Anolis sagrei: one gene and its partners. The protein of the gene in region 4 interacts with the protein of the main gene of each other region in a pairwise test. Links are inferred from orthologs where the notes say so. Each region holds a gene or a part of one and is shown on either strand. Other genes may lie near its edges.

Region 1 (8,197 bases), on a different chromosome or scaffold from region 4:
CTCCTGCAGAAAACCATATTTAATAATCTAGAGCTGATGTGGTAGTATAAATCTTTAGTCAGCATCCCCCCTCCCAACATCCCAGTTGCCTCGGCACTATAAAAGGGTTTCACAAGGCCATTCGCTCTTGTTGCCATGTGGTTTCAAGGCAATTATGTAGTAACGGTGAGGTTGCGAACCATATTTTTGTTCTTGTGAACTACTGGTGGCCCACGGACCCCAGGTTTCCGTAATTCTCGCTTACCTGGTTGGCAAATTCCCTCAGGTGAGCCATGGCTGGAGATTGGCACAAGACCCATGCACCAGTCCTCTCAAACAGAAGAGGGTTTTCTGTCTCTTGTTGGGATCACTTACACTATGAACAAAACATAGGGGGGGAAATACAATTGAATCACGCTGAAAGGCTCTTATTTAAATTGCCACCTTAAAAGATAAAAGAGCTGCTTTGAAGAGAGAGAAAACAGGGTAGTAATAATAATAATAATAATAATAATAATAATAGACGACTAGTACTTCCAATGGGCTACTTCCATCTTGGGATTAATACAAACTTCTGCACCAAAAAATGTCTCACACCGAACAATGACAACACTTTAATTGCCACAGCAACATCGTATGGAATAACACAGTTTATTATTGTTGTTGTTGTTGTTGTTATTATTATTATTATTATTAATAATAATAATAATAATAATAACAATTATATCCCACCCTTCTCACCCCGAAGGGGACTTGAGAGCGGCTTACAAGATACCTGTACATACAATATATTACATTACTAGAACATCACAATATTAGTATTATATATTATTATATTTACTATACCACTCTACTGTAATATTATTAGTAATATCACATGTATTATGAAGTATAAAATTATTATATTGTATTACTATTAGTATTATGTTGTATTATATTATAGTATTATCAATATTCTATGTGTATACAATATATTACATTACTAGCACAGCACAATATTAGTATTATATATTACTATATTGTACTATACCACTATACTATAATATTATTAGTAATATTACATGTAATATAAAATATGTAATTATTATATTGTATTATTATTAGTATTATATTGTATTACATTATAATATTATCATTGTTATATGTTTATACAATATATTATAATATTAGCACAGCACAATGTTAGTATTATATATTACTATATTGTACTATACCACTGTACTGTAACATTATTACTAATATTACATGTAATATGAAATATAAAATAATTATATTGTATTAGTATTATATTACATGATAACATTATTATCAATATTATATGTGTACACAATATATTATAATATTAGCACAGCACAATATTAGTATTCTATATTACTATATTGTACTATACCACTATACTGTAATATGATTAGTAATATTACATGTAATATAAAATATATAACTATATAACTATTATATATAACTATATAACTATTACATTGTATTATTATTAGTATTATAGTGTATGATATGATAATATTATTATCAATATTCGATGTGTATACAATCTATATAAATAAAAATCTAATGTTCATTTGTGGGATTAGCATAACTCAAAAACCACTGGACAACACCAAATTTGAACACAAGACACCTATCAGGCCAACGAGTGACCATCACTCATAAAAACACTGAAAAACACAGTGGAAGGGACTCAAAAAGCCAAAAAAATTTACATTACAACGCATGCGCAAAACCACATATATACACATATACACACACACATATAAACGCAAACAAAACATATACAGAGACTGGGCCACAGCAATGTGTGGCAGGGGACGGCTAGTATATTATAATACTAGCCATCTCCTGCCATGCGTTGCTGTGGCCCAGTCTGTGTGTATATGTATTTTGTGTGTGTATATATGGTTATAGCACAAATTTATTTATTTATATACAACATATATATGCCAACCTTCTCACCCCGAAGGGGACTCAGAGCAGCTTACAAGATATAGATATATATACACATATAATACATTATAATATTACCACAGCACAAAATTAGTATTATACTAGCCGTCCCCTGCCACGCGTTGCTGTGGCCCAGTCTGTGTATATGTGTTTTGTGTGTATATATGTATAAATGTGGTTTTGCGCATTCATTGTAATGTATTTTTATTTTTTGGCTTTTTAAGTCTCTTCCGCTGTGTTTTTCAGTGTTGGTCACTCGTTGCCCTGATAGGTATACTGTGTCCAAATTTGGTGTCAATTCGGCCAGTGGTTTTTGAGTTACGTTAATCCCACAAACTGACATTACATTTTTATTTATATAGATATTACTATATTTTTGCTGGAGGGAGGGGCTCTGGAGATAATCTTGAGCTACGAATTCCAGGATGGAACCAATGGCTGCGCCTACACAGTACAATTAATGCAGTTTGGGACCACTTTTAACTGCCATGGCTCAATGCAATAGAATAATGGAAATTGTTGTTTTGGTGGGGCACCAGCACTTTTTGGCAGAGAAAGACCTTTGAGCAACTACAACTCCCACGACTCCATACCACTGAGCCATGGAAATTCAACTGAGTCAAACTGTATACACTGTAGATCAGGCCTGGGCCAACTTGGGCCCTCCAGGTGATTTGGACTACAACTCCCACAATTCCTAACAGCCGCTAGGCTGTTAGGAATTGTGGGAGTTGTAGTCCAAATTACCTGGAGGGCCCAAGTTGGCCAGGCCTGCTGTAGATGCAGCCTGAATTAGTACAAGAGTTTTAGCCTTATAGATACATTGATACAATATATATATATGATTACAGATATAATAATAATACCTTTTAAAATAATAATAATAATAATAATAATAATAATAATAATTTCTGATGAATGGGATAGAATCTATTGGTCGTCCCCCGTCCCTCAATCAGATGGTATAGTCCACAGAGGTTCGAATCCCCCCCCATGGCAGTGACGCAATGGGCCTGCCCCCACCTCAGTGAGAGAGAGAGAGCTCCACCCAGCCCCTTGGAGACACCTTGCCATGGCAACGGGCTGCTGCTGCTGTCCCGCCACCCTCCCTCCGCGCCGAGCCAGCCGCGTTCCATTGCCGTTCTCCTTCTCCTCTCACCTGAGCCCCGCTGTTCCGTCCCGTCCATCCTCCCTCCGCTCTCGACCAGCCCAGGATACTGAGAGAACTCGGGAACAGCAAACGGCAAGGGCGGCAGGCAGGCAAGGAGGGAGGGGGGAAAGGAGCGGGAGCGCAAACAGGCATGCGCAGGAACCTATCCCAGAACGAGGCTTTCTGGGAAAGGTAGTTCTTCTCTTCCGAGCTTCCGTTAGGATATAGTGGAGCAGGGACTGCAATAACCGGCGTGCATTGCGACAATCCGCGGCCAGCCTCTCCAGAGGCGCGGAGGTGTCTGGGAAAGAGAGTTTGTGAGGAGACACAAACAGAGGCACATCCTCTATCTATCCTCTCTCAAAGAATGCCTCCTCCAGGCTAGAATGTATCTACATTAGGCCTGGACCGACTTAGGCCCTCCAGGTGTTTTGGACTTCAGCAAGCTGGAATGTGTCCAGAGGAGGGCGACTAAAATGATCAAGGGTCTGGAGAACAAGCCCTATGAGGAGCGGCTTAAAGAGCCGAAGAAGAGAAGACTGAGAGGAGACATGATGAGGGCCATGTATAAATATGTGAGAGGAAGTCATAGGGAGGAGGGAGCAGTTCAAGGGTCTGGAGAACAAGCCCTATGAGGAGCGGCTTAAAGAGCTGACCATGTTTACCCTGAAGAAGAGAAGGCTGAGAGGAGACATGATAGCCATGTATAAATATGTGAGAGGAAGTCACAGGGAGGAGGGAGCAAGCTTGTTTTCTGCTGCCCTGGAGACTAGGACGCGGAACAATGGCTTCACACTACAATAAAGGAAATAACATCTGAACATCCTGACTGTGAGACCTGTTCAGCAGTGGAACTCTCTGCCCCAGAGTGTGGTGGAGGCTTCTTCTTTGGAAGCTTTTAAACAGAGGCTGGATGTATTGTCGAAGGCTTTTATGGCCGGAATCACTGGGTTGTTGTATGTTTTTTCGGGCTATATGGCCATGGTCTAGAGGCATTTTCTCCTGACGTTTCGCCTGCATCTATGGTAAGCATCCTCAGAGGTTGTGAGGACCTCACTACCTCTGAGGATGCTTCTCATAGATGCAGGCGAAACGTCAGGAGAAAATGCCTCTAGACCATGGCCATATAGCCCGAAAAAACCTACAACAACCCAGAGGCTGGATGTATTGTCAAAGGCTTTCATGGCTGGAATCACTGGGTTGTTGTGGGGTTTTTCGGGCTATATGACAATGTTCTAGAGGCATATTATTTGAGAATACAGCATTTCTGGGGGAATCCTTTGTTGGGATATGTTAGCTGGCCCTGATTGTTTTCTGTCTGGAATTCATCTTTCTCTTTATTTACTGTCCTGATTTTAGAGTTTTTTAAATACTGGTAGCCAGATTTTGTTCATTTTCATGGTTTCCTCCTTTCTCTTGAAATTGTCCACAGGATTGTGGATTTCAATGGCTTCCCTGTGTAGCCTGACATGGTGGTTGTCAGAGTGGTCCAGCATTTCTGTGTTTTCAAATACTATGCTGTGTCCAGGTTGGTTCATCAGGTGCTCTGCTATGGCTGACTTCTCTGGTTGAATTAGTCTGCAGTGCCTTTCATGTTCCTTGATTCGTGTTTGGGACACAGCATATTATTTGAGAACACAAAAATGCTGGACCACTCTCACAACCGCCATGTCAGACTACACAGAGAAGCCACTGAAATCTATAAGCATGTGGACAATTTCAACAGAAAGGGGAAAACCATGAAAATGAACAAAATCTGGCTACCAGTATTTAAAAAAACTCTACAATTACAACAGCAAAACAACAGAGAGAAAACAATCAGGGACAGCTAATCACCTCTCAACAAAAGATTCCCCCAGGCACTAACAAGCTACACCAAACAACAGCCAGGCCATCAAATGCTAATCAAGGTGGTCAGTTGAAACATTCACACCTAGCTCCAGCAGACAAGAGTTCTTTGTCCCATCCTGGTCATTCCAGAGATATATAAACGCAATTTTCCTAGTTCCAACAGACCTCACAACCTCTGAGGATGCTTGCCATAGATGCAGGTGAAACGTCAGGAGAGAATGCCTCTAGAACATGGCCATATAGCCCAAAAAAACCTACAACAACCCAGATGCTGGATGGCCATCTGTCGGGAGTGCTTTGAATGCAGTTTTCCTGCTTCTTGTCAGGGGGTTGGACTGGATGGCCCATGAGGTCTCTTCCAACTCTATGATTCTAGACAAGAGTGCCTGTGTTATTGAACAAACCGTCAGCAAAGGCTTGGCTGCATACATCTGGCTGGATTACCCAACCAGGCAGGCAGGTGCGGTGCCTATCTCCAACCTTTGTTTACGCTTCATTTGGTTTAGATAAAACCCAAAAGAATAGGTAAAGTTGCTTTGGCCAGAATGGCTGGTTCTTAGTTTACAGAAAGGGTGGGGTCCGATTGCTCAAGTGGTTGAAAGGAAATTGTACGAAAATTCCCAAGAATGTCAACACTATGATAGTTCAGTACTAACTGATATAAATGCCTTTATGTTTATTTGACCTTTGGCACACTTCTGTTGAGGAGCCCCCGGTGGCACTGTGGGTTAAAGCGCTGAGCTTGTTGACCGGGGAGCGGCGCGAGCTTCTGCTGTCAGCCACAGCTTCTGCCAACCTAGCAGTTCAAAAACATGCAAATGTGAGTAGATCAATAGGTACCACTCCGGTGGGAAGGTAACAGCGCTCTATGCAGTCATGCCGGCCACATGACCTTGGAGGTGTCTACAGACAATGCCAGATCTTCGGCTTAGAAATGGAGATAAGCACCACACCCCAGAGTTGGACACGACTGGACTTAATGCCGGGGAAAACCTTTACCTACCCTTCTGTTGAGGGCCTTCTCTGTGGTGGCCCCTCAGCTCTGGAACTCACTCCCCAGAGATATTAGGCAAGCCCCCACACTGGCAATCTTCAGGAGGAATTTGAAAACCTGGTTATTCCAATGTGCCTTTCAGTAATTTAATGTAAGATTCTCCCTGACCACATTTTGCGCAAAATGTCCTTAAAAGCACTTTATTTTATGGTTTGTGCAATGAAATCCTTCCTCATTCCCAGAGCCTCCTCCCTATAATTTACAATGTCCTATCTCCCAGTGTTTTAAAATTTTTAAAAAAAATATCCGTGAATCTGGCCCTGCCTATCAGTAGAAAACCTTTAGTTTTACATACCCTTCTGCTAATTGCTATAGCAGCCTACGTTCTGTATTAAAGTTTTGTGTGAGAGTAAGTATTGTGTATGTATGTGTGTGCCTTGGACTGCAAGAAGATCCAACCAGTCTATACTTCAAGAAATAAGGTCCGACTGCTCATTGGAGGGAAGAATATTAGAGGCAAAGGTGAAGTACTCTGGCCACATAATGAGAAGATAGGAAAGCTTAGAGAAGACAATTATGCTGGGGAAAATGGAAGGAAAAAGGAAGAGAGACTGACCAAGAGCAAGATGGATGCATGATATCCTTGAAGTGACTGACTTGACCTTGAAGGAGATGGGGGTGGTGACAGCCGACAGGGAGCTCTGGTGTGGGCTGGTCCATGAGGTCACGAAGAGTCGGAAGCGACTGAATGAATAAACAACAAAAATCATGGTTTTCTATGAGTGAAGAGATAGCAACTGGTATTATTTACAATATTTATACTCCGCCCTTCTCACCCCAAAGAGGACTCAGAGTGGCTTTATAGAACATACATACGGCAAACATTCAATACCGATTATACGATAACAAGAACAGACAACACAACAGAGGTAAAGGCAGTTTTTCCCATCTTATTTCCGGCATCTTTGAGGCTGTGCTTGACCAGCTGTGTGTGTGTGGGGGGGAGGGGGGGTGTACTGTTGCTCCATCTTCCATGCCAAGGATGTCTTTAAGAGCACTTCTCTCCGCTAAAAGCAGTACCTATTTTATCTACTCGCATTTCTGCTTTCAACCTGCTAGGTGGGCTGGGGCTAACCAAAGGTACTTAACCCTGACCTGGGCTCGAACTGTTGACCTTCTGATCGGCAGTATTTTTCTGCAACACAGTGGTTTAGCCTGTTGTGCTAAGCTCTGGTAGATGGCATATGTTCTGTATCTCAAAAATTAGAGCCGGTAGGGGGAAACTGGTGCAATTTTTAGAACCAGCAGGTCAAATATACCCAGAAGCAGGTATAAAATTTCAGGTATGAAAATGTGTGTTGGACACTGTGATATGAATGTATTGTATAACAACATTTGTTTTGCCATCTGGGACAGGATTTATAGCACAAAAACATGTCATTTCTTAATCACCAACAGTTGGTCTTGATGTCACTGACTCTTTGTGGTGTCAACTTGATTCAACCTTTCTGATCCCACTTTTGTATTCCAAGGGTCCCCATCCTGATGGCGCCAAGTCTACAAAGCATTAATGTGGGAGAGCACCTCCTCTGCTATGGAAGCATAGTTATGGAATACCATTACAGGCCTGATTTATGCCTGTAATGGTTAGAACCAGATTTCAAATCCTAACCCTGGCTCTCTGGTTTCCATGCGTCATCTTCCAGACAGAAGACAATGGTGCAATTTCTCCAGTTTTGGTGAGCTCAGCTCCAGGGAAGCAGAAAGGATTGCATGCAGCCTGCAACCTCAGCTAGAAGACCAGACTCTTGCGGCTATTTTGCAAGGCTGAATGGACTGGTTCCTGCAACTTGTGAACACTTTCCAGGGGATCTATGTAGCTATTTGAGTTAGTTTCCTTCTCCCCTCCCTTTTAGAGAAAAAAAAAACAGTATATAAATGACTATAATAATATAATAATTATTGTGATGCTAGGATTCACTCAAGCTTTGCTCTGCTGCATTTGCCTTTCAGTTAGAAACAAGGAGTCTAGAATTAATATTATTTATGTCTAAATAAATGAGAAAGAGTAATCCACATGTTTCATCTTGATCTGGGTTTCTGTCTTGATGTTCGAGTTTTCTCTGTATATGATGAATAAGCCGTGAGCAACTGGGATTGTCCTTAATCTATTACACTTGAAGACATTACCAGGAGTCTATCCTAGGTCCCAGGTCGTGACCCAGAAACCTCAGGGCCTTCAGTGATCCTGAAGTGGCAACCCTAAT
Region 2 (7,839 bases), about 210 Mb from region 4:
TGATGGTGGCACATCTGCTTGGCCAACTACCAAAGAGCTGTGCTTATCTATTATCAGTCTTAAAAGATGGGGAAAGAGATGTTGTAACATCTTTCAAAATTAACATTTATTTCAGCATAAGTATTTGTGGGCTATAGCACTTTTGATGACTGAAAAGCAGTCAGTAGCAAAAAAAAAAGCAGGTGTCTTGTGATTAACCAACTTACTTCAGCGTGAATTCTCTGTAGCAAGGAACATTAAAATCATGTGTGCATTCTTGCAGTCTGGAGAAGTTACTAGATAATTTACAGGCTCATTCTTTAAGGATTACTACTGTGAAGGCTGGAACATCAAAATATGGGAATGGAATAAATGCTGGTTCTCAACCTGTGGGTCCCCAGATGTTTTGGCCTTCAACTCCCAGAAATTCTAACAGCTGGTAAACTGGCTGGGATTTCTGGGAGTTGTAGGCCAAAGCACCTGGAGACCCACAGGTTGAGAATCATTGTGCTAAAGGAACCAAGACTTACCACATAGACAAAAAGTTGCCCCCCTCTTCTATTTGGAATAACAAAAACTAATTTGCCATGTTATCAAACTTGTAAAATTAGTGAAACATGCCTCCTTTATACAAGAAAGATACAGCAGATTAACCTGAATTAACTAGGTGAAACATGTTTTACAAGACAGCTCCAAGGATGAAACGAGCTCATCTGTATGGGAGAGCCATAACTTGGGAGACAACACATATAAGGCATACATTCAATTCCTGACATCTTGGTTTATCATGGGTGTGGATGGGAAAAGTTTTGGTGGTCTGGTGCCAATCTGATAGTCAGTAACTGGGCCAGTAATAGTCTGATTTTATATAGATACAATGCTGCTGTATACCATCTCTCTGTGGAAGATAACATCGGACAATGTATCTGAATGAAGAACTTTATACCCTCCAACAACTCTTCCAATTTGGAAGGGACAGACTTGATTTATTATTGTTTATCATTTCTAACCACCCTCTCTCCTGGTAGGGACTCGGGGCGGTTTACATATATATAAAACAGGCAAACATTCAATGCCATGCTAAAAATCACAATGAAAAATAAAAAATATTAATGAACTTATTACCAAAAAGAATTACAGTTAGCATAATGAGAAATACATATCTCTATCTATACACATAATAAAAGTTAAAATGTGTGTATGTGGCCGAGCTATCTACTTATTTATTTATTTATTTATTTGCTTTATTTCTATACCGCATTTTTCAGCCCAAAAAGGCGACTCAATGCGGTTTACAGGTACAAATTATCATAACAATGTCAGTGCAATTAAAAATACAACAAATATAACAACAGGATCAACAACACCGATCCACAACAATTAACAAACAACATGAAACAAACATAGCGCCTCAATGAAATCAGATCCGATCTCATAATCCTTGTATCATTCCTATGTTCCATTTACCGTCTTCCTATGTTCGGTTGCACTGTTAACCAAACGCTTGTTCATAAAGCCAGGTCTTGACCTTTCTCCGAAATGCCAGCAATGATGGTGCCTGTCTGATGTCTACCGGTAAGGCATTCCATAGCCGAGGGGCCACCACTGAAAAGGCCCTGTCTCTCGTCCCCGCTAAGCGTGCTTGTGACGCAGCCGGGAGCGAGAGCAGGGCCTCCCCAGACGATCTTAATGTTCTAGTCGGTTCATAGGTGGAGATGCGTTCAGAGAGGTAAGTGGGGCCAGAACCGTTTAGGGCTTTATAGGCTAAAGCCAGCACCTTGAATTGTGCCCGGTAGCAGATTGGCAGCCAGTGGAGCTGGCTCAGCAGAGGAGTGGTACGCTCCCTGAGTGCCGCTCCCGTTAGCAACCTGGCTGCCGAGCGCTGGACCATCTGAAGCTTCCGGGCAGTCTTCAAGGGCAACCCCACGTAGAGCGCGTTGCAGTAATCAATGCGGGATGTAACCAGAGCGTGGACTACCGTGGCCAAGTCAGACTTACACAGATAGCCTCTGGCCTCCACAAACAGGCTGTAGTTCCAAGTTCTGAAAAGCCTCCAAAGGCATTCCCTCCACTGACATTGCAGGTTAGAGCAAGCTCCATGAACATGTAACCCAACCCCCGCAATGTCCTCCCCAAACACCAACCACCCAAGGAATGCTGTCAAGTGGTAGTTCTCCTTTCTGTATGCTAAGGTACATAAGTGAGTTTTCAGAACTTTTTTTGAAGGAGAGGGGGGCAGGGGCCATTTTAATTTTTTAGGAATGGAGTTCCAGAGATGGGGAGTGATCACAGAAAAGGCCCCCTCTTGTTACCACCAGTCTTGCTTGTGATGAGGGTGGAACCGAGAGCAGGGCCTCCTCTGCTGACTGCAGTGCACAAGATGGTTTATATAGGGAAATGCGGTTAGACACATAGCCTGGACCTGAACCATTTAATCATCTGTTGTACCACTCCTTACCTACTTTGAAAACATCCGTTTTATCCCCTGTTCCTCAGTATATCTCAGTTATTACAAACTTCAGAATACAAAAGTGGTTCATACTCAACTCATTAAGCAGTCATTTCCAATGGTCTTGCCCTTCCTAGTAGATTCAGGGAAAAGTTAACTGTTGTAATCTCTCCTGCCTTCTCTGTTATTTTGGGTTTTTTTTAACTGCTGCCATTTTGACCATGTTTTGATATTGCTTGGCATCACATGTCCAAATGTTCATCACATTTGGGAGGAATGTGTATTCTCTAGGTGGAGGATTTGCTTCCCATGAACTACCTTGTAATTTAAAAATAAGAAAAGCCAAAAGCTATGTTCCACCTTTCTTGCTTCTGCCTTAATGCTTAAGCATATGTAGCTAAACTCAGTCCATAGAATGTGAGGCTATGGTACATCCCCATCAAAACAAAATAGTTTATTAAACTAACCCTGCTTTCCCACACTACCACTATTCCATTTTTTACTTTTTATTTTTAGAATAATTCTGCAACTTCACCTTGAAAAAAACCCCAAAAAAGCAAAAAAACAACAACCAGAAAATATAAAATAAAAGGAAAACAGACAGCTTGGGAATGTAAAGGGGAGGGAGGAGAGGGGGTGCATGGGACCTGTTGATGGTTTTATCTGTTAATACCTAGGGATGGTAAAATCATGGAGAGGAGACCGACGAGAAGGAGTATGCATTGCAAAGGGCAAAATGGACCATCATCACAAGTGGCAGTCCAGGGCAGTGCTGATTTGTTTGCCTCATGCCTCCTACAAAGCATCTTTAGAGTCAAGACAAGCTGAGATAATGTCATTCTGGATTTAACCAGTGCTATCTGCTCACTGTCACCAATTTTATTGATCTGACAGAACAAGATTGGGACTCCAAATGTTATTGCATTGCAACTCCCAGTATTCTGAGGTCTGCAGTCTGACAACATCTAAAGAATCATATTTCAAGCACCTGTGTGTTAAAGGTACATGGAAATGATGAAACAAATAGCCCTCAATCTGGTGCCCTGTGTTTTGGATTAAAATGTTCAGCATTCCTGATCTTTGCCCTTGCTGACTGGAATGGATGGAGGTTAAACATCTAGGGTCAACCAAATAGAGGAGAGCATTTTAGACACACCAAGATGCCTTGAAGAGAGAACATTAACAACAATATACTTTCAAAAACACTTACTCAAGGAAAGCAACAAAAGAGAAGAGCACAATTAAACAAGTTGTAACCAATTTTGGTATATGGTGTGAACGTTTCAATAATACAGTTTGTGAAATAAGAGTTGGGAGATCTCTAAGGGTACATCAGTAATTTTTAAAGTTTGAAATTATGTTCATGTTTTATTAATAATCTCAGGCCTCCCTGCCATACAGACCATCAGAGTGCTGTTACCATTTGGGTCCAGGGTTATATTGCGTACCAATCATGGAATAAAGAGACCAGACACAGGTAATTGGGTTAAACGAGGGCCACTTTATTTTACCTAAAACCTATTTATGCTGCACTCAACCTGGAGAGGAGCAAGAGGGAAAAGCAAGTTGACTCTTGACTACTTTGTCTTCCTCTGGACAAAACACCTGAGAGTTTTAGAAGACTGTAAGAGTTTTCGGAGATCATAAGGGCCATCTAGTCCAACTCTTGCTGTGCAAAAATGCACATCTACAGCATTCCTTTCAAAGATGGAGGGTATACCACCCACCAAGGCAATTTCTTCTCTCTCTCTGTCTCTCAGTTTTAAAGATTTTATTATGCTCCTGGAGCAGGCATTCTTCTGTTTAACTTTTTTTGGCAAGAATTTTCCACAAGGCCTGGGTTAAAGAAAGAAGGGCTGGATAAGGCATTGTTGTAACTCAGAGGGCATATTTTCCTACACATTGCCCATCATTATTCTATATATTCCTCATGGTCAGTTCATTTCCCTTTCCATTCTGAATACAAGGCCTTTACTCTTCTCTTGAATACATGCCATCTCATCCTCATGAAACCCTCCTAAAAACCCAATATTGTTCTCCATGGTGGCATTGTGTACAGGACCTTTCTTCCGGCATAATAGAAGCTAGCTTTCCCCATCAGTCTCCAAAGTGTTCTGACTTTGTGTCATAGTGGAGGAGTTGGTGGCTGGCAAATGCGGCCAGCCTTGGTACTGAGATGAATGGCTTGGGACAAGATGCCCATTGTTTTGCCTCTGACGTTGCCCCTCTGCATTGGGTGGCCCTGAACTCTACGTATTCTGGGCCTCTTCTTAAAAGACGGTGGGCTTTCACAACCCTGCTGCCTGAGAACTACTCTTGTCACACCATTCTCCCAAGGAAACACTGCCTAGCAAAACTCATACAATGTGCAAGAAATTTGTTGGATCCTGGAAACTTGTTTCTAGTGAAAACTTTGATGATTACATGAAAGAATTGGGTGAGTTTTGGTTTGATTTCACTGGGAAATTTTCTTTGTTGTCCTTTTGTTCCTTCATTTCTTCTGAGAGCCTTTTGTGCTTATTGTCAAACTTTTAATCTAAGCATTTGAAGAAAGTTTAAAAACAGAAGATAAATTTGTCATTTTTTGTCTCTTACTAACCACATTCAGAATTTTCTTCTTCCTTTTCTGTTTCGTTCTTGTTGCTTTCCTTTTCCTTTGTATGAGAAATAAATAAATTGCTTATTTATTATTATTATTTTCTTCTGAAGATGGTCCTGGTACATTTTAATTCTACAGAAATACTCACAGTATTTTTTTTACATAGCTTACATAATGGTTGTTGTTGCTGTGTCACTATTATTATTTCACCTACTTCTTTGTAGTCCTGCTATATATATATATATATATATAATTGATTGAGTTTAGATGTGGGTTAAACTGCTGAGCTACTGAACTTGCTGACCAAAAAGTCAAGGTTTGAATCCAGGGAGTGGCATGAGCTCCTGCTGTTAGCCCCAGCTTCTACCAACCTAACAGTTCGAAAACATGCAAATGTGAGTAGTTCAATAGGTACCGTTCCAGTGGGAAGGTAACAGTGCTCCATGCAGTCATGCTGGCCACATGACCTTGGAGGCGTCTATGAACAATGCTGGCTCTTCAGCTTAGAAATGGAGATGAGCACCAACTCCCGGAGTCGGACACGACTGGACTTAATTTCAGAGGAAAACCTTTACCTTTACCTTAGACATAGCCATGTGTGCTTCCACTTGCTTTTACATATATGTCTTCTGTACTTAACATTGTCAATATCATTCAAAATAGGAGTGTATTATTTTGTATCAACAGCTACTTGAGCATGGTAAACAAACTGAATTATTAACACAGTGAGGACAGAAAACTAATTCTTGTCACTTGCTGACACATGTTCCTGTTCTCTTTAAATATATAGATGTGTACCTTTTTGCTTGTTTATTTATCTATTTAATGCATAGTCTTTTTCCCCAATATGAAACTACTTTAAATGCATTATTTTTTCAAATGCCTGGTAGGCAAACGCCACAGGGAGGAAGGTGATTGCTTGATGCAGCAGATGCTGTTTCTCCTGGACTCCACATCTTTCGCCTCTGCAGCACTGTTGTATTGCACTTAAAGTAGTCTGAAACATTACTGAAGTGGTAGACATGGATTTTTCTGTAAAGGCAATATATGCATTCAGCTATGAGAATTCATGTACGAAATGCTCAAAATATTGCCATGCGCATTAATAAACATACAGGCTTTTGGTATATAGGGAAACTAAAACATCATATAAAAGTAACTCCTTTTTGTACTGATATTTTTTTTCTAACCTTGATCGTCTGTCAATTATGACCTTTCTTTTAAAACATGGTCCAAACATGGTAATAGGCAGTTTTTATGTTTCTTCCAGATTACACTATGTAACAAAATTGTTGTTTTTTTCCTGTTCCTGGTTTGAACGTATTATTTCCTGATTCATTGTGTGGTACTTACATTGAAAGTAGTTGCTATACTTTAGAAACTTCATTTTTGTGCCTCAAACTATGTTGAATTGGTTGTGACGCTATAAAATATTTATCGAAAACTATAGCCCAATGTGTTGCAGGATACCCCACAAAAACAGAGTTTTTGCATTTAATAATCTCTTTCCATATTTTTTTATGATAGAACCAATTAGGAAATGACATTTATAATCCCAGAACAAAAGTTGTGTTACATAGTGTTATTTGAGGCCATCTGTATTCTACTTACTAAAAGATAATTTTAAAGGGTAAAGCTTGGTGTTTTGTAGCCCCTTACTTGTATACCTAACTTATTCACTCCTTTCCCCTTTTGTGCTTTTCAAGGATATTTTAAGAGCCATGTATTTTTGCAGTGTGTAAGATATATTTTCTTGCCAAATGAAGTATAATGTGGTTTTCTGTGTCCTTCATTTAGGGGTGGGGTTGGCCACCAGGAAACTTGGCAGTTTGGCCAAACCCAGAGTCATCATCAGTGTGAAGGGTGACCAGATGACAATCAGAACTGAAAGCACCTTCAAAAATACCCAGATCACTTTTAAGTTGGGCCAGGAATTTCAGGAGACCACAGCAGATGACAGGAAAACCAAGGTGATGGGTCATCACTCTCTTCCACTAGACTTGCTATTGTTTTCTCAAACTTGAGCAACCAGAGTTATTTTGTCCTTTGAACAGCGCTGGAAGGTTTCACATCAGCTTACTTGCTTTTCTTATTTAGGCGATCCTTCACTGTCCGAGAATGAAGCCTTTTCAAGAGTAGTGTCTCAGCAGTGGATACGTAGGTGACTGTGGAGACCTATTCATGACCCGCATGTTCAGAAGCACTTTAGTTTATGGCTCGTGCAATTAAATCCCTTCTCATCCCGGCTCCCCATCATGACAATCCTACATTGCCTATCTCCCATTGTTTTTACATTTTTAATTTTTTATTCTGAAGCGGCCCTGCCCTGTGGAATATTTTGTGTTTGATGTTTGATTGTATATTGCTGTGTGTGTGTGTGTGTGTGTGTATAGTTTTTTGCATTTTATGTTTTGTGTATACTGTTGTTTATTGTGTTCATGGGCATGGCCTCATGTAAGCTGCCCCGAGTCCCCTTGGGGGAGATGGAGTGGGGTATAAATAAAGTATTATTATTATTATTATTCCACAGTGAGGGCATTGGTTTCCAGGTGGAAGGCAGTCCTGGTCAGGGTTGGCTTGACATGCCTTCCTCTTGGCACGTTTCTCCCTTTTGCTCTCCATTAGTGCCTCTTCAAATTCCACAGCACTGCTGGTCACAGTTGACCTCCAGTTAAAACACTCAAGGGCCAGGGCTTCACAGTTCTCAGTATCTATGCCACAGTTTTTAAGGTTAGCTTTAAGCCCATCTTTAAAAGCGACAAGAAAATGGTCACTTTCTTCACTTAGGCTTGCTATTGTTTTCCCAAACAGA
Region 3 (8,270 bases), about 8.4 Mb from region 4:
GAGTTACAGCCTGTGTTAGACGGGGTCGCACTCCCCCTGAAGACGCAGGTTCGCAGCTTGGGTGTGACCCTGGACTCATCGCTGAGCCTGGAACCCCAGGTTTCGGCGGTGACCAGGGGAGCATTTGCACAGCTAAAGCTTGTGCGCCAGCTGCGCCCGTATCTCGGGAAGTCTGACTTGGCCATGGCAGTCCACGCTCTGGTTACATCCCGTTTAGACTACTGCAACGCTCTCTACGTGGGGTTGTCTTTGAAGACAGCTCGGAAGCTCCAACTAGTCCAACACTCGGCAGCCATGATTTTAACAGGAGCGGAGCGCAGGGAGCATACAACCCCCCTGTTGCGCCAACTCCACTGGCAACTGATCTGCTACCGGGCTGAATTCAAAGTGCTGGCGTTGGCCTTTAAAGCCCTAAACGGTTCCGGCCCAAGCTACCTATCTGACTGCATCTCTGCCTATGAACCCACCAGGACTTTGAGATCTTCCGGGGAGACCCTGCTCTCGATCCCGCCTGCTTCTCAAGCTCGGCTGGCGGGGACGAGAGATAGGGCCTTCTCGGTGGTGGCTCCTCGGCTGTGGAACGCCCTTCCTACAGACATTAGACTAGCACCATCTCTAATGGTATTCCGCAAAAAGGTGAAGACCTGGATGTATGTGCAGGCGTTTGAGTAATTTAGTGCAATCTGGTAATGGAACATAGGAATGGAACAATGGACAACGAACCTGGACTACGCTTGGATGATGAGAAGATTGGGTACGGTTGTTTTTTGTAATAATTGTGCATTGTAATTGCTTATTGGTAATTTATGGATAATGTGTTAAGTCAATTGTTATATGTTGTATGGAACCACTGCTGTTTCTACTGTTTTTACTGTTTGTGAACCGCTGTGAGTCGCCTTCGGGCTTGAGATACAGCGGTATATAAGCAAAGTAAATAAATAAATAAATAAATATATCCAAGCCTTCTCCCAAAATAAGATCCCAACACACTTTACTCACAACTGCCATTCAAACTTGAGTGAAAACAGAAACCTTAACTAATGTAGTTGTTTCCAGATTAAGATGGAAACTAGTATTTAATGTAGCCTAGCTGCTTGTAAACAGAAGGTGGATGGAGAGCAGAGGGGGAGCCTGCATACCATAAATACTGATAGAGAATTGTTAATTAACTACTGTATATACTCAAGTATAAGCATAGTTTTTCAGCCCCTTTTTCAGCCTGAAAAAGCTTCCCTCGGCTTATATTCGAGTCAAGATTATTTATTATCTTACTCTATTATTAGTATGATTTTTATTACATTTATTAATTTACTCTATTATTATTACTACTATTTTATTACGTTTATTATTTTTCTCTATTTATTATTATTATTATTACATTTATTATTTTCTCTATTTGTTATTATTATTACACTTATTATTTTACTCTATTATTGTTTTGATTACATTTATTACATTTATTTATTTATTTACTGTATTTGTATACCGCCTTTCTCAGCCCATAGGCGACTCAAGGCAGTTAACAGGGTAAAATTCAATGCTTACAATATCATAAATACAATTAGAAGCATAACATATAATAAAAATTAACATATCAATAACATATAAATTTATAGTGTATCCTTGTTAAAAACATTGTCCGGTCTCATTGTTGCCATTTATTATTTTATTCTTACATTTATTATTTTACTTTATTATTATTGTTATTATTATGATACATTTAGATTATTCTACTCTGTTTTTTTAAAATATTGGTAGCCAGATTTTGTTCATTTTCATGGTTTCTTCCTTTCTGTTGAAATTGTCTACATCCTTGTGGATTTCAATGGCTTCTCTGTGTAGTCTGACATGGTGGTTGTGAGAGTGGTCCAGCATTTCTGTGTTCTCAAATAATATGCTGTGTCCAGGTTGGTTCATCAGGTGCTCTGCTATGGCTGACTACACAGAGAAGCCATTGAAATCCACAAGAAGCATGTGGACAATTTCAACAGAAAGGAGGAAACCATGAAAATGAACAAAATCTGGCTACCGGTATTAAAAAAAACTCTAAAATTACAACAGCAAAACAACAGAGCCAGACTACTAACGGGAGCGGGGTACAGGGAGCATACTACTCCTCTGTTGCGCCAGCTCCACTGGCTGCCAGTCAGCTTCCGAGCACAATTCAAAGTGCTGGTCTTAACCTATAAAGCCCTAAACGACTCCAGCCCAATTTACCTGTCCAAACGTATCCTCCCCTAGGAGCCACCAAGATTGCTAAGATCGTCTGGAGGGGCCCTGCTCTCAATCCCACCGGCCTCACAGGCGCGGCTGGTGGGGACGAGAGACAGGGCCTTCTCGGTGGTGGCCCCTCGACTCTGGAACTCCCTTCCACTGGAGATCAGAACTGACCCTTCTATCTTAACGTTCAGGAAACAGGTGAAAACTTGGCTTTGGGGATTGGCATTCGACGAATGAGCCATGATCCTGTGATATGGATGGATGACGACGAATAATGACTTTTGATGACGACTGACCCCTGTAATTATATGATTGTATTTTGCTATTTTAATGTTTTAGTGTGATTTAGAAAATGATGTTTTAATGACTGTCTGTAATATTGATGTTGGAAACTGGCCTGAGTCCGTCGAACAGAGGTGAGAAGACCGGTATACAAAACTGCTAAATAAATAATAAATAAATAATAATCACCTCTCAACAAAAGATTGCCCCAGGCACTGCCAGGCCATCAAATGCTAATCAAGGTGGTCAGTTGAAACATTCACACCTAGCTCCAACAGACAAGAGTCCTTTGTCCCCACCCTGGTCATTCCACAGATATATAAACCCATTTTCCTAGTTCCAACTACCTCTGAGGATGCTTGCCATAGATGCAGGCGAAACGTCAGGAGAGAATGCCTCTAGAACATGGCAACCTATTATTATTGTAATTTATCTATTATTATTATTATAATAGTGCAGAGTGCACCTTTTATGAGATTCACCTCACAGCAAAACCTTATACTTTTAACTTTATTTTTATAAATTATACTAGCTGTCCCTTGCCACGTGTTGCTGTGGCCCAGTCTGGAGATCTGGAAAATAAAGTAATGAGAAAGTGTTGGTTTCTAATATATGTAATTCCTTGATGCTTGTGAGTAAACAGTATTTCTTGTTGTTTCTTTGTCAGTGTTGATGGGGAGAGTGTCTGGTTTGCCTACTCTGGAATATGCAACATATCATAGTCCTTCTTTAAGGGTCTCTTTCAAATCTGTGATACTATATCTGTGTGTGTGAGAGAGAGAATCATATCTATCTATGTATATTTATGTCTGGATGGCTCTTTGTCAGGAGGGCTCTGATTACATTTTCTTGCCCTGGTGAAGAGAGTTGGACTGGATGGCCTTAAGTAATTTCTGTTGGTCATGGGGGTTCTGTGTGGGAAGATTGCCCCATTTCTGTTGTTTGTGGGTTTCAGAATGCTCCTTAATTGTAGTGAACTATAAATCCCAGTAACTGCAAATCCCAAATGTCAAGGTCTATTTCCTCCAAACTCCATCTGTGTGCATATTTAGGCATATGGAATTTTTGCGTCAAGTTTGGTCCAGATCCATCATTGTTTGAGTCCACAGTGCTCTCTGGATGTAGGTGAACTACAACTCCCAAACTCAAGGTCAATGCCCACCAAACCCTTCCAGTGTGTTTTGTTGGTCATGGAAGTCCTGCATGCCATGTTTGGTTCAATTCTATCATTGGTGGAGTTCAGAATGCTCTTTGATTATAGGTGAACTATAAATCCCAGTAAGTACAAATCCTAAATGTCAAGGTCTATTTCCCACAAACTCCATCTGTGTTCATATTTGGGCATATTGCATATTCGTGCCAGGTTTGATCCAGATCCATCATTGTTTGAGTCCACAGTGCTCTCTGGATGTAGGTGAACTACAACTCCCAAACTCAAGGTCAATGCCCACCAAACCCTTCCAGTGTGTTGGTCATGGAAGTCCTGTATGCCATGTTTGGTTCAATTGTATCATTGGTGGAGTTCATAATGCTCTTTGATTGTAGGTGAACTATAAATCCCAACAAGTACAACTCCCAAATGTCAAGGTCTATTTTCCCCAAACTCCATCTGTGTTTATATCTGGGCAGATTGAGTATTTGTGCCAGGTTTGGTCCAGGTCCATCACTGTTTGAGTCCACAGTGCTCTCTAGATGTAGGTGAACTACAACTCCCAAACTCAACATCAATGCCCATCAAACCTTTCTAGTGTTGTCTGTTGGTCAGGGGAGTCCTGTGTGTCAAGTGTGGTTCAATTCCATCATTGATGGAGTTCAGAATGCTCTTTGATTGTAGGTGAATTATAAATCCCAGCAACTACAACTTCCAAATGACAAAACCATAATGTTTTGAGTGATGGTCACTCCTTGTGTAGTGAGACGTTTTGTTGCCAAATTTGGTGTGATTTCGTTCATTGATTCTTTTGTTTTTAAGGTACTCATTATGCACAGAGCATTTTTATATATACAAATAGATATATTGTATTAATTTCCCATAAAATGCAGCTATATTTCCTATTAAAAGAATAACAACACATAAGCACACCAAACAGTTCTCAAGCATCCTCTAATTCTCCCTTCCCTTTTACAAAAATACTTTTAAAACATAAAATATATATTAAATAGAGTAAGAACAGCCCTGAGGCCTTGAAGAAGGAGACAAACTCACCCCAGGCCAAGCTCTCTCAGGCTGCTTCCCCTTTAGAACGCAGAGCATCCCGGGAAATGGAGTCCCCGCCCTGCCCGACGTCCCTTAGGCACGCCTTCCCCTTCGCCTCGAAAGAAACTACCCTTCCCGAAATGCACCGCGCCGCCTTGACGCTTCTCCCCGCTTGGCTCCTTGCGGCCATGAAGAACCACAGAGAGGGAAAGGCTAGAGGGGGCTTTAACGTAATCCAAGATGGCGGCAAACGCTCGGTTAAGGAAGCTTCCTGCTTTGTGGGGACTTGTCTAGCAAAGCGGAAGTGGCCGTGTTTGTGTGCCAGTGGAGGCCGGAAGAGGAGGATGGTGGCTGAGGGATGCTGAGAAAGGAAAAGAGAGAAGTTCTGCTGAGTTGAGTTGCTCTTGGTGGCCTTTGGAGTAATTGATATATCTATTATTAATGCATAATATGTAACATATAACACATATATTTATATTATATATATTATATATTGTAATAATATATACAGTAATAGATATATAATATATTATATATTATATATATAATCTTAGATATATAATATATAATAATATTATCTATATTATTAGATATATTAGACAGTAATAGCTATATAATATTGTATATATTTATATATTACTATATTATATATTATTATAATAATATTATATACAGTAATAAGATATATAATATATATTATATATATAATCTTATATATATAATATATATCTAATAATGTTAAATTTAATTTATCTATATTATTAGATATATTAGACAGTAATAGATATATTATATATATTATATATATATTATATATATAATCATAGATATATAATATCTAATAATATTATATATAATTTTATCTATATTATTAGATATATTAGGCAGTAATAAATATATAATATTATATATATTTATATATTAATATATGTTATATATTATAATAATATTATATACAGTAATAGATATATAATATATTATATATTATATATATTATATATATAATCTTAGATATATAATATATATCTAATAATATTATATATAATTTATCTATATTATTAGATATATTGGACAGTAATAGATATATAATGTTATATATCTATAATCTTAGATATACATAATATATACTTAATAATATTATATATAATTTTATCTATTGTTGTTGTTCATTCGTTCAGTCATCTCCGACTCTTCGTGACCTCATGGACCAGCCCACGCCAGAGCTCCCTGTCGGCCGTCACCACCCCCAGCTCCTTCAAGGTCAGTCCAGTCACTTCAAGGATGCCATCCATCCATCTTGCCCTTGGTCGGCCCCTCTTCCTTTGACCTTCCACTTTCCCCAGCATCATTGTCTTCTCCAAGCTTTCCTGTCTCCTCATGATGTGGCCAAAGGACTTCAACTTTGTCTCTAGTCTCCTTCCCTCCAATGAGCAGCCGGGCTTTATTTCCTGGAGGATGGACTGGTTGGATCTTCTCGCAGTCCAAGGCACTCTCAGCACTTTCCTCCAACACCACAGCTCAAAAGCATCTCTCTTCCTTCGCTCAGCCTTCCCTAAGGTCCAGATCTCACATCCGTAGGTTACTACAGGGAATACCATGGCTTTGACTAGGCGGATCTTTGTTGCCAGTCTGATGTCTCTACTCTTCACTATTTTATCGAGACTGGACATTGCTCTCCTCCCAAGAAGTAAGCGTCTTCTGATTTCCTGGCTACAGTCTGCATCTGCAGTAATCTTTGCACCTAGAAATACAAAGTCTGTCACGGCCTCCACGGTTTCTCCCTCTATTTTCCAGTTGTCAATCATTCTTGTTGCCATAATCTTGGTTTTTTTGATGTTTAGCTGCAACCCGGCTTTTGCGCTTTCTTCTTTCACCTTGATTAGAAGGCTCCTCAGCTCCTCCTCGCTTTCGGCCATCAGAGTGGTGTCATCTGCATATCTGAGGTTGTTAATGTTTCTTCCACCAATTTTCACCCCAGCTTTGCATTCATCCAGCCCCGCACATCACATGATGTGTTCTGCATACAAGTTAAAAAGGTTGGGTGAGAGGATGCAGCCTTGCCGTACGCCTTTCCCAATCTTGAACCAGTCTGTTGTTCCGTGGTCAGTTCTGACTGTTGCTACTTGGTCCTTGTACAGATTCCTCAGGAGAGAGACAAGGTGGCTTGGTATGCCCATCCCACCAAGAACTTGCCACAATTTATTATGATCCACACAGTCAAAGGCTTTAGAATAGTCAATGAAGCAGAAGTAGATGTTTTTCTGAAACTCCCTGCCTTTCTCCATTATCCAGCGGATATTGGCAATCTGGTCTCTCGTTCCTCTGCCTTTTCTAAACCCAGCTTGAACGTCTGGCCACTCTCGCTCCATGTCTGTCTGGAGTCTTCCTTGCAGGATCTTGAGCATTACCTTACTGGCATGAGAAATAAGGGCCACTGACGGAAGTCTCTGATGTCTCTACTCTTTACTATTTTATTGAGATTGAACATTGCTCTCTCCCAAGAAGTAAGCGTCTTCTGATTTCCTGGCCACAGTCTGCATCTGCAGTAATCTTTGCACCTAGAAATGCAAAGTCTGTCACGGCCTCCACCTTCTTCTCCCTCTATTTTCCAGTTGTCAATCATTCTTGTTGCCATAATCTTGGTTTTTTTTTAATGTTTAGCTGCAACCCAGCTTTTGCGCTTTCTTCTTTCACCTTGGTTAGAAGGCTCCCCAGCTCCTCCTCGCTTTCGGCCATCAAAGTGGTGTCATCTGCATATCTGAGGTTGTTAATGTTTCCTCCAGCAATTTTCACCCCAGCCTTGCATTCATCAAGCCCCGCACATCCTCGCATGATGTGTTCTGCATACAAGTTGAAAAGGTTGGGTGAGAGGATGCAGCCTTGCCGTACGCCTTTCCCAATCTTGAACCAGTCTGTTGTTCCGTGGTCAGTTCTGACTGTTGCTACTTGGTCCTTATACAGATTCCTCAGGAGAGAGGGAAGGGGGCTTGGGATGCCCATCCCACCAAGAACTTGCCACAGTTTATTATGATCTACACAGTCAAAGGCTTTAGAACAGTCAATGAAGCTGAAAGAGATGTTTTTCTGAAACTCCCTGCCTTTCTCCATTATCCAGCGGATATTGGCAATCTGGTCTCTCGTTCCTCTGCCTTTTCTAAACCCAGCTTGTACATCTGGCAACTCTCTCTCCATGTATTGCTGGAGTCTTCCTTGCAGGATCTTGAGCATTACCTTACTGGCATGAGAAATAAGGGCCACCGTACGGAAGTTGGAGCAGTCTTTCGCATTTCCCTTTTTTGGTATGGGGATATAAGTTGATTTTTTCCAGTCTGATGGCCATTCTTGTGTTTTCCATATTTGCTGGCATATGGCATGCATCACCTTGACAGCATCATCTTTTAAGATTTTAAACAGTTCAGCTGGGATCCCGTCATCTCCTGCTGCCTTATTGTTAGCAATGCTTCTTAAGGCCCATTCCACCTCACTCAGATATATATTAGATAATATATATCTAATAATATTATATATAATTTTATCTATATTATTAGATATATTAGACAGTAATAGATAG
Region 4 (7,445 bases):
GCTTGAGAAGCAGGCGGGATCGAGAGCAGGGTCTCCCCGGAAGATCTCAAACTCCTGGTGGGTTCATAGGCAGAGATGCGGTCAGATAGGTATCTTGGGCCGGAACCGTTTAGGGCTTTAAAGGCCAACGCCAGCACTTTGAATTCAGCCCGGTAGCAGATCGGTAGCCAGTGGAGTTGGCGCAACAGGGGGGTTGTATGCTCCCTGCGCTCCGCTCCTGTTAAAATCATGGCTGCCGAGCGTTGGACTAGTTGGAGCTTCCGAGCTGTCTTCAAAGGCAACCCCACGTAGAGAGCGTTGCAGTAGTCTAAACGGGATGTAACCAGAGCGTGGACTACCGTGGCCTAGTCAGACTTCCCAAGGTACGGGCGCAGCTGGCGCACAAGCTTTAGCTGTGCAAATGCTCCCCTGGTCACCGCCGAAACCTGGGGTTCCAGGCTCAGGGATGAGTCCAGGGTCACACCCAAGCTGCGAACCTGAGTCTTCAGGGGGAGTGCGGCCCCATCCAACACAGGCTGTAACCCTATGCCCTGTTCGGCCTTGCGACTGACCAGGAGGACCTCTGTCTGGCAAATGGCATGCATCACCTTGACAGCATCATCTTTTAAGATTTTAAACAGTTCAGCTGGGATCCCGTCGTCTCCTGTTGCCTTGTTGTTAGCAATGCTTCTTAAGGCCCATTATATATTATATATATATATACAGTATATATAATGTGTGTGGCATGGGCAAACTTTTTGACCAACATAAACTTAACAGTATTTCAATGGAAAACTCCAGGGGACATCCAGTCCAACCCCCTCTATTCTGCCATACAGGAAAAGCACCCCCAACAGATGGCCATCCAGCCTTTGCAATAATAAGAGAGGGGTGGGGACGGCTGACAAGGAGCTCTGGCTTGGGATGATCCAGGAAGTCACAAAGAGTTGGAAGCGACGAAACGAATGAACAAAATAGGTAAATCTAAGATAAGCAGAAAGATAAGCAGGATCAAATAGTCTAGGAAATGAATCCATCAGAGTTCATGAAAAACAAATATAGAAACGTCCAAAGTAAAATTCCAAAACTTGAATCATGAATCAAAAAGGCACCTAACATGAGTATCAAACAACTATTATTATTATTATTATTATTATTATTATTATTCAAAGGCATGATGACTATCTGTCAGGAGGGCTTTGATTGTACTTTTCCTGCCTGGCAGAAGATAAGGGGCTGGGCTGGATGACCTTTGGGGGTCCCTTCCAACACTAGAATTCCATTGTTATGATGATGAAGCAGAGGTTGAGTGGCCATCTGTCCAGAGGACTCTGATGGTGCTCTTCCTGCAGAATGGCGGAATAAAGGGGGGCTGGACTAGATGACCTTTGGGGTTCCCTTCCAATTCTAAGATTCTATTGTTATTATTATTGTTATTATTATTATTAAACAGGAGCTGGATGGCCATCTATCAGGGTAGCTTTGATTGTGCTTTTCCTCCCTGAAAGAATAAAGAGGGCTGGACTGGATGACCTTTGGAGTTCCTTTCCCATTTTAGGATTCTATTATTATTATTATTATTATTACTATTATTATTATTATGAAGCAGAGGTTGGGTGGCCATCTACCGGGAGGGCTCTGATGGTGCTTTTCCTGCAAAATGGCAGAGTAAAGGGGGCTGGACTAGATGACCTTTGGGGTTCCCTTCAAATTCTAAGATTCTATTATTATTATTAAACAGGGGCTGGATGGCCATCTATCAGGGTAGCTTTGATTGTGCTTTTCCTCCCTGAAAGAATAAAGAGGGCTGGACTGGATGACCCTTGGGGTTCCTTTCCCACTCTAGGATTCTATTATTGCTATGATGGTGATATTATTATTCTTCCCCTATTATTATTATTATTATTATTCAGAGGCATAATGAGTATCTGTTGGGAGGGCTTTGACTGTGCTTTTCCTCCCTGAAAGAATAAAGAGGGCTGGGCTGGATGACCTTTGGGGCTCCCTTCCAATTCTAGGATTCTATTATTGTTATGATGGTGAAGCAGAGTCTTATTATTATTATTATTATTATTATTAAGCAGAAGTTGGGTGGCCATCTGTGGGGAGGGCTCTGATGGTGCTCTTCCTGCAGAATGGCGGGATTAAGGGGGCTGGACTGGATGACCTTTGGGGTTCCCTTCCAATTCTAAGATTCTATTATTATTAGTAGTAGTAGTAGTAGTAAACAGGAGCTGGATGGCCATCTATCAGGGTAGCTTTGATTGTGCTTTTCCTCCCTGAAAGAATAAAGAGGGCTGGACTGGATGACCTTTGGGGTTCCTTTCCCACACTAGGATTCTACTATTATTATTATTATTATTATTATTATTATTATTCAGAGGCATGATGAGTATCTGTTGGGAGGGCTTTGACTGTGCTTTTCCTGCCTGGAAGAAGATAAGGGGCTGGACTGGATGACCCTTGGGGCTCCCAATTCTAGGATTCTATTATTGCTATGATGGTGAAGCAGTCTATAATAATAATAATAATAATAATTATTCTTAAGCAGAGGTTGGGTGTCCATCTGTGGGGAGGGCTCTGATGGTGCTCTTCCTGCAGAATGGCGGAATAAATAAAGGGGGCTGGACTAGATGGCCTTTGGGGGACCCCCTTCCCTCTCCCGGAAGGACCCACCTGGCGGGGCGGCGGCGGTGGGCGGGCCAAGGCGAGGCTCAGGGCGGAAGCTTCTCGGCTGGCTGCCTCGAAGGCGCCCCCTGCAGGAGGAGGAGGAAGGAGGGAGACAGAGAGTGAGAGTGAGAGAAAGAAGTCCTCCAAGGCCATAGAGAGGCGCCCCAGAGAGAGACCTCCCCCCTGGCTACCTACCCAGGGCATCCCAGAAGCCTCCGGGGTCGAAGGCGGCCTCTTTTTCTTCGTGCTGCTGCTGCTGCTCTTCTGGCTCCTCTCGGCTTCCGTCGCCGCTCCGCCCGGCCTCTCCGCCTGCGAGACAAGCGTGCCCCTGAGCGCGTGCAGAGCGCCCCCTCTCTCTCCATCCCTCCCGAAAGGAAGGAAGGGCCCTCACCTCTCAGCCCCGACAGCGCCGCCTCCAGGCCCCCGCGCAGCGCCTCCAGCGGCGGGCACGACATCGCGGACTCCCAAGCGAAACAGCTCCAGGCCCCCGCACTCCGGCTTCCGTAGGGGAGCCGGAAGTCCTGGGGTAAGGCAGGTGACGCACTTCCTGTCCCGTGTTTTCACTGTCCCTGGGCCTCGAGTCCAGGCCGAGGCTGGGATTTTATGGTCCTCCGGGAGGAGGGCGACGGTTGCCCTGGAAACGCCCAAGAGGTAGCCCCGCCCCCTGAGGGGAAGCCCCGCCCTTCAGCCGCAGGCCCCGCCCATCTGGCTACAAGCCCCACCTTTGAGAGGAAGCCCCGCCCCCTTGAATAGTATTCGTGCCCCCTGAGAGGAAGCCCCGCCCCCAGGCTATAGGCCCCGCCCTCTTGAATATTCATGCCCCCTGAGGGGAAGCCCCGCCCTTCAGCCGCAGGCCCCGCCCATCTGGCTACAAGCCCCGCCTTTGAGAGGAAGCCCCGCCCCCTTGGGTATTATTCATGCCCCCTGAGGGGAAGCCCCGCCTCTCCGGCTACAAGCCCCGCCCTTGAGAGGAAGCCCCGCCCCCTGGAATAGTATTCATACCCCTGAGGGGAAGCTCCGCCCTTCAGCCGCAGGTCCCGCCCATTTGGTTACAAGCCCCGCCCTTGAGAGGAAGCCCCGCCCCTTGGGGGTATTATTCATGACCCCTGAGGGGAAGCCCCGCCCTTCAGCCGCAAGCCCCGCCCATCTGGCTGCAAGCCCCGCCTTTGAGAGGAAGCCCCGCCCCCTTGGGTATTATTCATGCCCCCTGAGGGGAAGCCCCGCCCTTCAGCTGAAGGCCCCTCCCTTTGAGGGGAAGCCCCGCCCCCAGGCTTTAAGCTCCTCCCCTTTGAGTGGAATTCATGCCCTTGAGGGGAAGCCCCGCCCTTCAGCTGAAGGCCCCTCCCTTTGAGGGGAAGCCCCGCCCCCAGGCTTTAAGCTCCTCCCCTTTGAGTGGAATTCATGCCCTTGAGGGGAAGCCCCGCCCTTCAGCTGAAGGCCCCGCCCATTGAGAGGAAGCCCCGCCCACCACAAAGTAAGCCCCGCTGATTGAGAGGAAGCCCCTCCCCTTGAGTGGAATTCCTCTGAGGGGAAGCCCCGCCCTACAGCTGAAGGCCCCGCATTTTGAGAGGAAGCCCCGCCCATCGGGCTACAAGCCCCGCCTTTGACAGGAAACTCCACCCCTTGAGTGATGTTCATGCCCCCTGAGGGTGCATCCCAGCCTCCCCTTCCTCATCCTCCGAGTACTCAGACCCTGACCAGGCTGCAACAATTCATGACTTGGATGAAAGTTTATTTATTTCATTTCCAAAGCATTGCATGAATAAGTATAAAACTGATTAAAAATAGAGTTAATGCAAGCGTATTACAGGGTGTGCATATGTATGCTAAGTCTTCACAAGGATCATCTCCTGTATGGGTGCGTGTTGAGGAAGAACACCTGGACAATTAAGCAATCAAGCTTGAGCCACTCCCTGCAAGGAGTATATCATGAGGAGCATTCAGATCATGAAGACAGTCGTTCATGGAGAGAAATGATGGGACTTCCATGCTGATGGTCATTCTACCATGGACTTACTACAGGACTTGCTGAAGGTCTGGACCATTTGCTACAAGACTCCTTGCAGCATTGAAGAAACAGAGAATGCACGGTTTTAATGCATTGGACTTTGTGCGAGTTATTTTCTGCAATGGACTGAGTTTATTTTCAAGGCTGGTTATTTTGTAAAGCTGCATATTGATCTCTGACTACCAGGGGCGGCTCGTCCATTACGTGAAGTAAGCGGTCGCAGAACACTTTTTTTTTGCCAGGGGCGCAGAGGCGCCTCTGTAAATGCCCCTCGACCGCCACTTGAGGAGCACCCCCTCAGCTCACAACAGCCCTAGCAGTCCGGGGGGAGCCTCAGCTTCCTTGCCTCGCTGCCGGGCGATCCTCTTCCCAAAGGGGCCGGGCCCTTGAGCCTCGCCTAGCCCCTCTCGTTCCTGCTCCACCTGGCCAGCGGGTGCGCGAGCAGAGCCGGCGCTCAATCGTTCTCCGTGTTCGATCCCTTCCCCATGACTGGCTCCCTTTCCTGATCCCCCGGCACTCCACCCGCCTCCTCTCCTCTCTCGTTTCGGGTCCAGAGGCGTGTCTGAAGACCCCAGCGTGCGCACCAAAAGTCACCTCTTCTCCTGACTTTCTCTTCAGCCATTGGGACCAAGAGAGAGAGAGAGAGAGAGAGCCCCTCCGGCTGGAAGTATCTCCCACCTCCGCTCCCTCCTTTGTTTTTGCACCTACCTTCAGGAAAGGTGGGCATCTCCACCTCTCTCTCTCTCTCTTTCTCTCTCTCGGTCCCAATGGCTGAGGAGAAAGTCAGGAGAAGAGGTGACTTTTGGTGCACACACTGGGGTCTTCAGGCACGCCTCCAGACCCAAAGCGGGCCAGGCAAGGGAGCAAGTGCGGCAAGTGTAGTTACTGGGATGTATAGTTCGCCTACAATCAAAGAGCATTCTGAACTCCACCAATGATGGAACTGAACCAAATAGGGCACACAGAACTCCCACGACGAACAGAAAATATATATCAATGATTGGGTGGGGGGGGGGGAGGAGGCACCAAAATACTGTTTGCTTACCATTGAAAATTACCTAGGGCCGCCTCTGCGTACTACTCAAGGGTAAATTTTGTTTTCCCTTTTACTCTGACTGTGTGAATCAACAGAGGGCTGGGGCTGGGAAGACTGCTGAGTAGCTTCCACATAGACTGATAAACCACAACAAAGCGGTTAAAGAATTTTTGACCAAAACTGGGCAACAGCAACCGCAATGTCGGCAGCTTTAAAGAATTTTCCCTCTGTGCATGAGGCAGGGCATTCTGGACAAGCATGCGGATGCTGAGTTGTTTGTTCTGCTCCACACTCGCACAAGGTGGAGGATTCTTCTAGGCAGTGGTTGTCTTTTGATCTGCTAACTCCACTTCTGAGTCTGTTCAGGGACTTCCAAGTTGCCCATTCTTGGTTTACCTCTAGGTATGTTTATCAATAGTAGTTTATCAACGAGTAGATCAATAGGTACCGCTCCAGCGGGAAGGTAACGGTGCTCCATGCAGTCATGCCGGCCACATGACCTTGGAGGTGTCTACGGACAACGCTGGCTCTTCAGCTTAGAGTCAGACATGACTGGACTTAATGTCAGGGGACTACCTTTACCTTTACCTATGTTTATCAAGTTTTCAGATGACACCCAATTAGGAGGGAGACCTAATATTCCAGAGGACAGGATCAGGATTCAAAATGACCTCAACAAATCAGAGAGCCAATTGGCCAAAATCAACAAAATGAATCTCAACTAGGACAAATGTAAGATACGACACTTTGGCAGAAATGCAAAGATGGGTGACGGCTGGCTTGACAAGAGTTACATGGGGAAAAGACCTTGGTTGGAGTCTTCATGGAGGGCAAACCGAACATGAGCCAAGAGTGTGGTGCAGCAGCTAAAAAAGCCAATGGGATTATGGGCTGCATCCAAAGGAGTTGGTTAAGTGGACGAACACAGAGAGTGCTCACTAATGCTTCCTCTTCATCTTAGAAAGAAGTGACGAGCGGAGTGCCGCAGGGTTCCGTCCTGGGCCCGGTCCTGTTCAACATCTTTATTAATGACTTAGATGAAGGGTTAGAAGGCATGATCATCAAGTTTGCAGACGACACCAAATTGGGAGGGATAGCCAATAGTCCAGAGGACAGGAGCAGGATTCAAAACGATCTTGATTAGAGAGATGGGCCAAAACTAACAAAATGAAGTTCAACAGGGACAAATGCAAGATACTCCACTTTGGCAGAAAAAATGAAATGCAAAGAGACAGAATGGGGGACAATGCCTGGCTCGAGAGCAGTACGTGTGAAAAAGATCTTGGAGTCCTCGTGGGGAGGAAGGTAAACATGAGCCAGGAATGTGATGTGGCGGCAAAAAAAGCCAATGGGATTTTGGCCTGCATCAAGAGGAGCCTAGTGTCTAGCTCCAGGGAAGTCATGCTCACCATGCTCTATTCCGCTTTGGTTAGACCACTTTACCTGGAATATTGTGTCCACTTCTGGGCACCACAATTCAAGAGAGATATTGACAAGCTGGAATGTGTCCAGAGGAGGGCGACTAAAATGATCAAGGGTCTGGAGAACAAGCCCTATGAGGAGCGGCTTAGGGAACTGGGCATGTTTAGCCTGAAGAAGAGAAGGCTGAGAGGAGATATGATAGCCATGTATAAATATGTGAGAGGAAGCCACAGGGAGGAGGAGGGAGCAAGCTTGTTTTCTGCTTCCCTGGAGACTAGGACACAAAACAAATGGCTTCAAACTACAAGAGAGGAGATTCCATCTGAACAT

The links.
Region 1: the proteins of CCNDBP1 (region 4) and STK25 interact in binary tests that used the Homo sapiens proteins (3 or more experiments, as listed by UniProt). The two-hybrid records come from large-scale screens. The link is inferred for Anolis sagrei from reciprocal best matches to the Homo sapiens genes CCNDBP1 and STK25.
Region 2: the proteins of CCNDBP1 (region 4) and myelin P2 protein-like interact in binary tests that used the Homo sapiens proteins (3 or more experiments, as listed by UniProt). The two-hybrid records come from large-scale screens. The link is inferred for Anolis sagrei from reciprocal best matches to the Homo sapiens genes CCNDBP1 and PMP2.
Region 3: the proteins of CCNDBP1 (region 4) and ZGPAT interact in binary tests that used the Homo sapiens proteins (3 or more experiments, as listed by UniProt). The two-hybrid records come from large-scale screens. The link is inferred for Anolis sagrei from reciprocal best matches to the Homo sapiens genes CCNDBP1 and ZGPAT.

Annotation. Positions count from the first base shown.
Region 1 is NC_090023.1:226,719,352-226,727,548, reverse strand, and holds the start of STK25 (serine/threonine-protein kinase 25), read right to left. Parts: upstream 3,233-8,197; 5' UTR 3,095-3,232; intron 356-3,094; 5' UTR 275-355; coding exon 245-274; intron 1-244. UniProt on the Homo sapiens protein: Oxidant stress-activated serine/threonine kinase that may play a role in the response to environmental stress.
Region 2 is NC_090024.1:39,056,974-39,064,812, forward strand, and holds the start of myelin P2 protein-like, read left to right. Parts: upstream 1-4,681; 5' UTR 4,682-4,792; coding exon 4,793-4,865; intron 4,866-6,824; coding exon 6,825-6,997; intron 6,998-7,839.
Region 3 is NC_090024.1:238,898,307-238,906,576, reverse strand, and holds the start of ZGPAT (zinc finger CCCH-type with G patch domain-containing protein), read left to right. Parts: upstream 1-4,999; 5' UTR 5,000-5,091; intron 5,092-8,270. UniProt on the Homo sapiens protein: Transcription repressor that specifically binds the 5'-GGAG[GA]A[GA]A-3' consensus sequence. Represses transcription by recruiting the chromatin multiprotein complex NuRD to target promoters.
Region 4 is NC_090024.1:247,310,415-247,317,859, forward strand, and holds the start of CCNDBP1 (cyclin-D1-binding protein 1), read right to left. Parts: upstream 3,304-7,445; 5' UTR 3,105-3,303; coding exon 3,041-3,104; intron 2,959-3,040; coding exon 2,845-2,958; intron 2,736-2,844; coding exon 2,656-2,735; intron 1-2,655. UniProt on the Homo sapiens protein: May negatively regulate cell cycle progression. May act at least in part via inhibition of the cyclin-D1/CDK4 complex, thereby preventing phosphorylation of RB1 and blocking E2F-dependent transcription.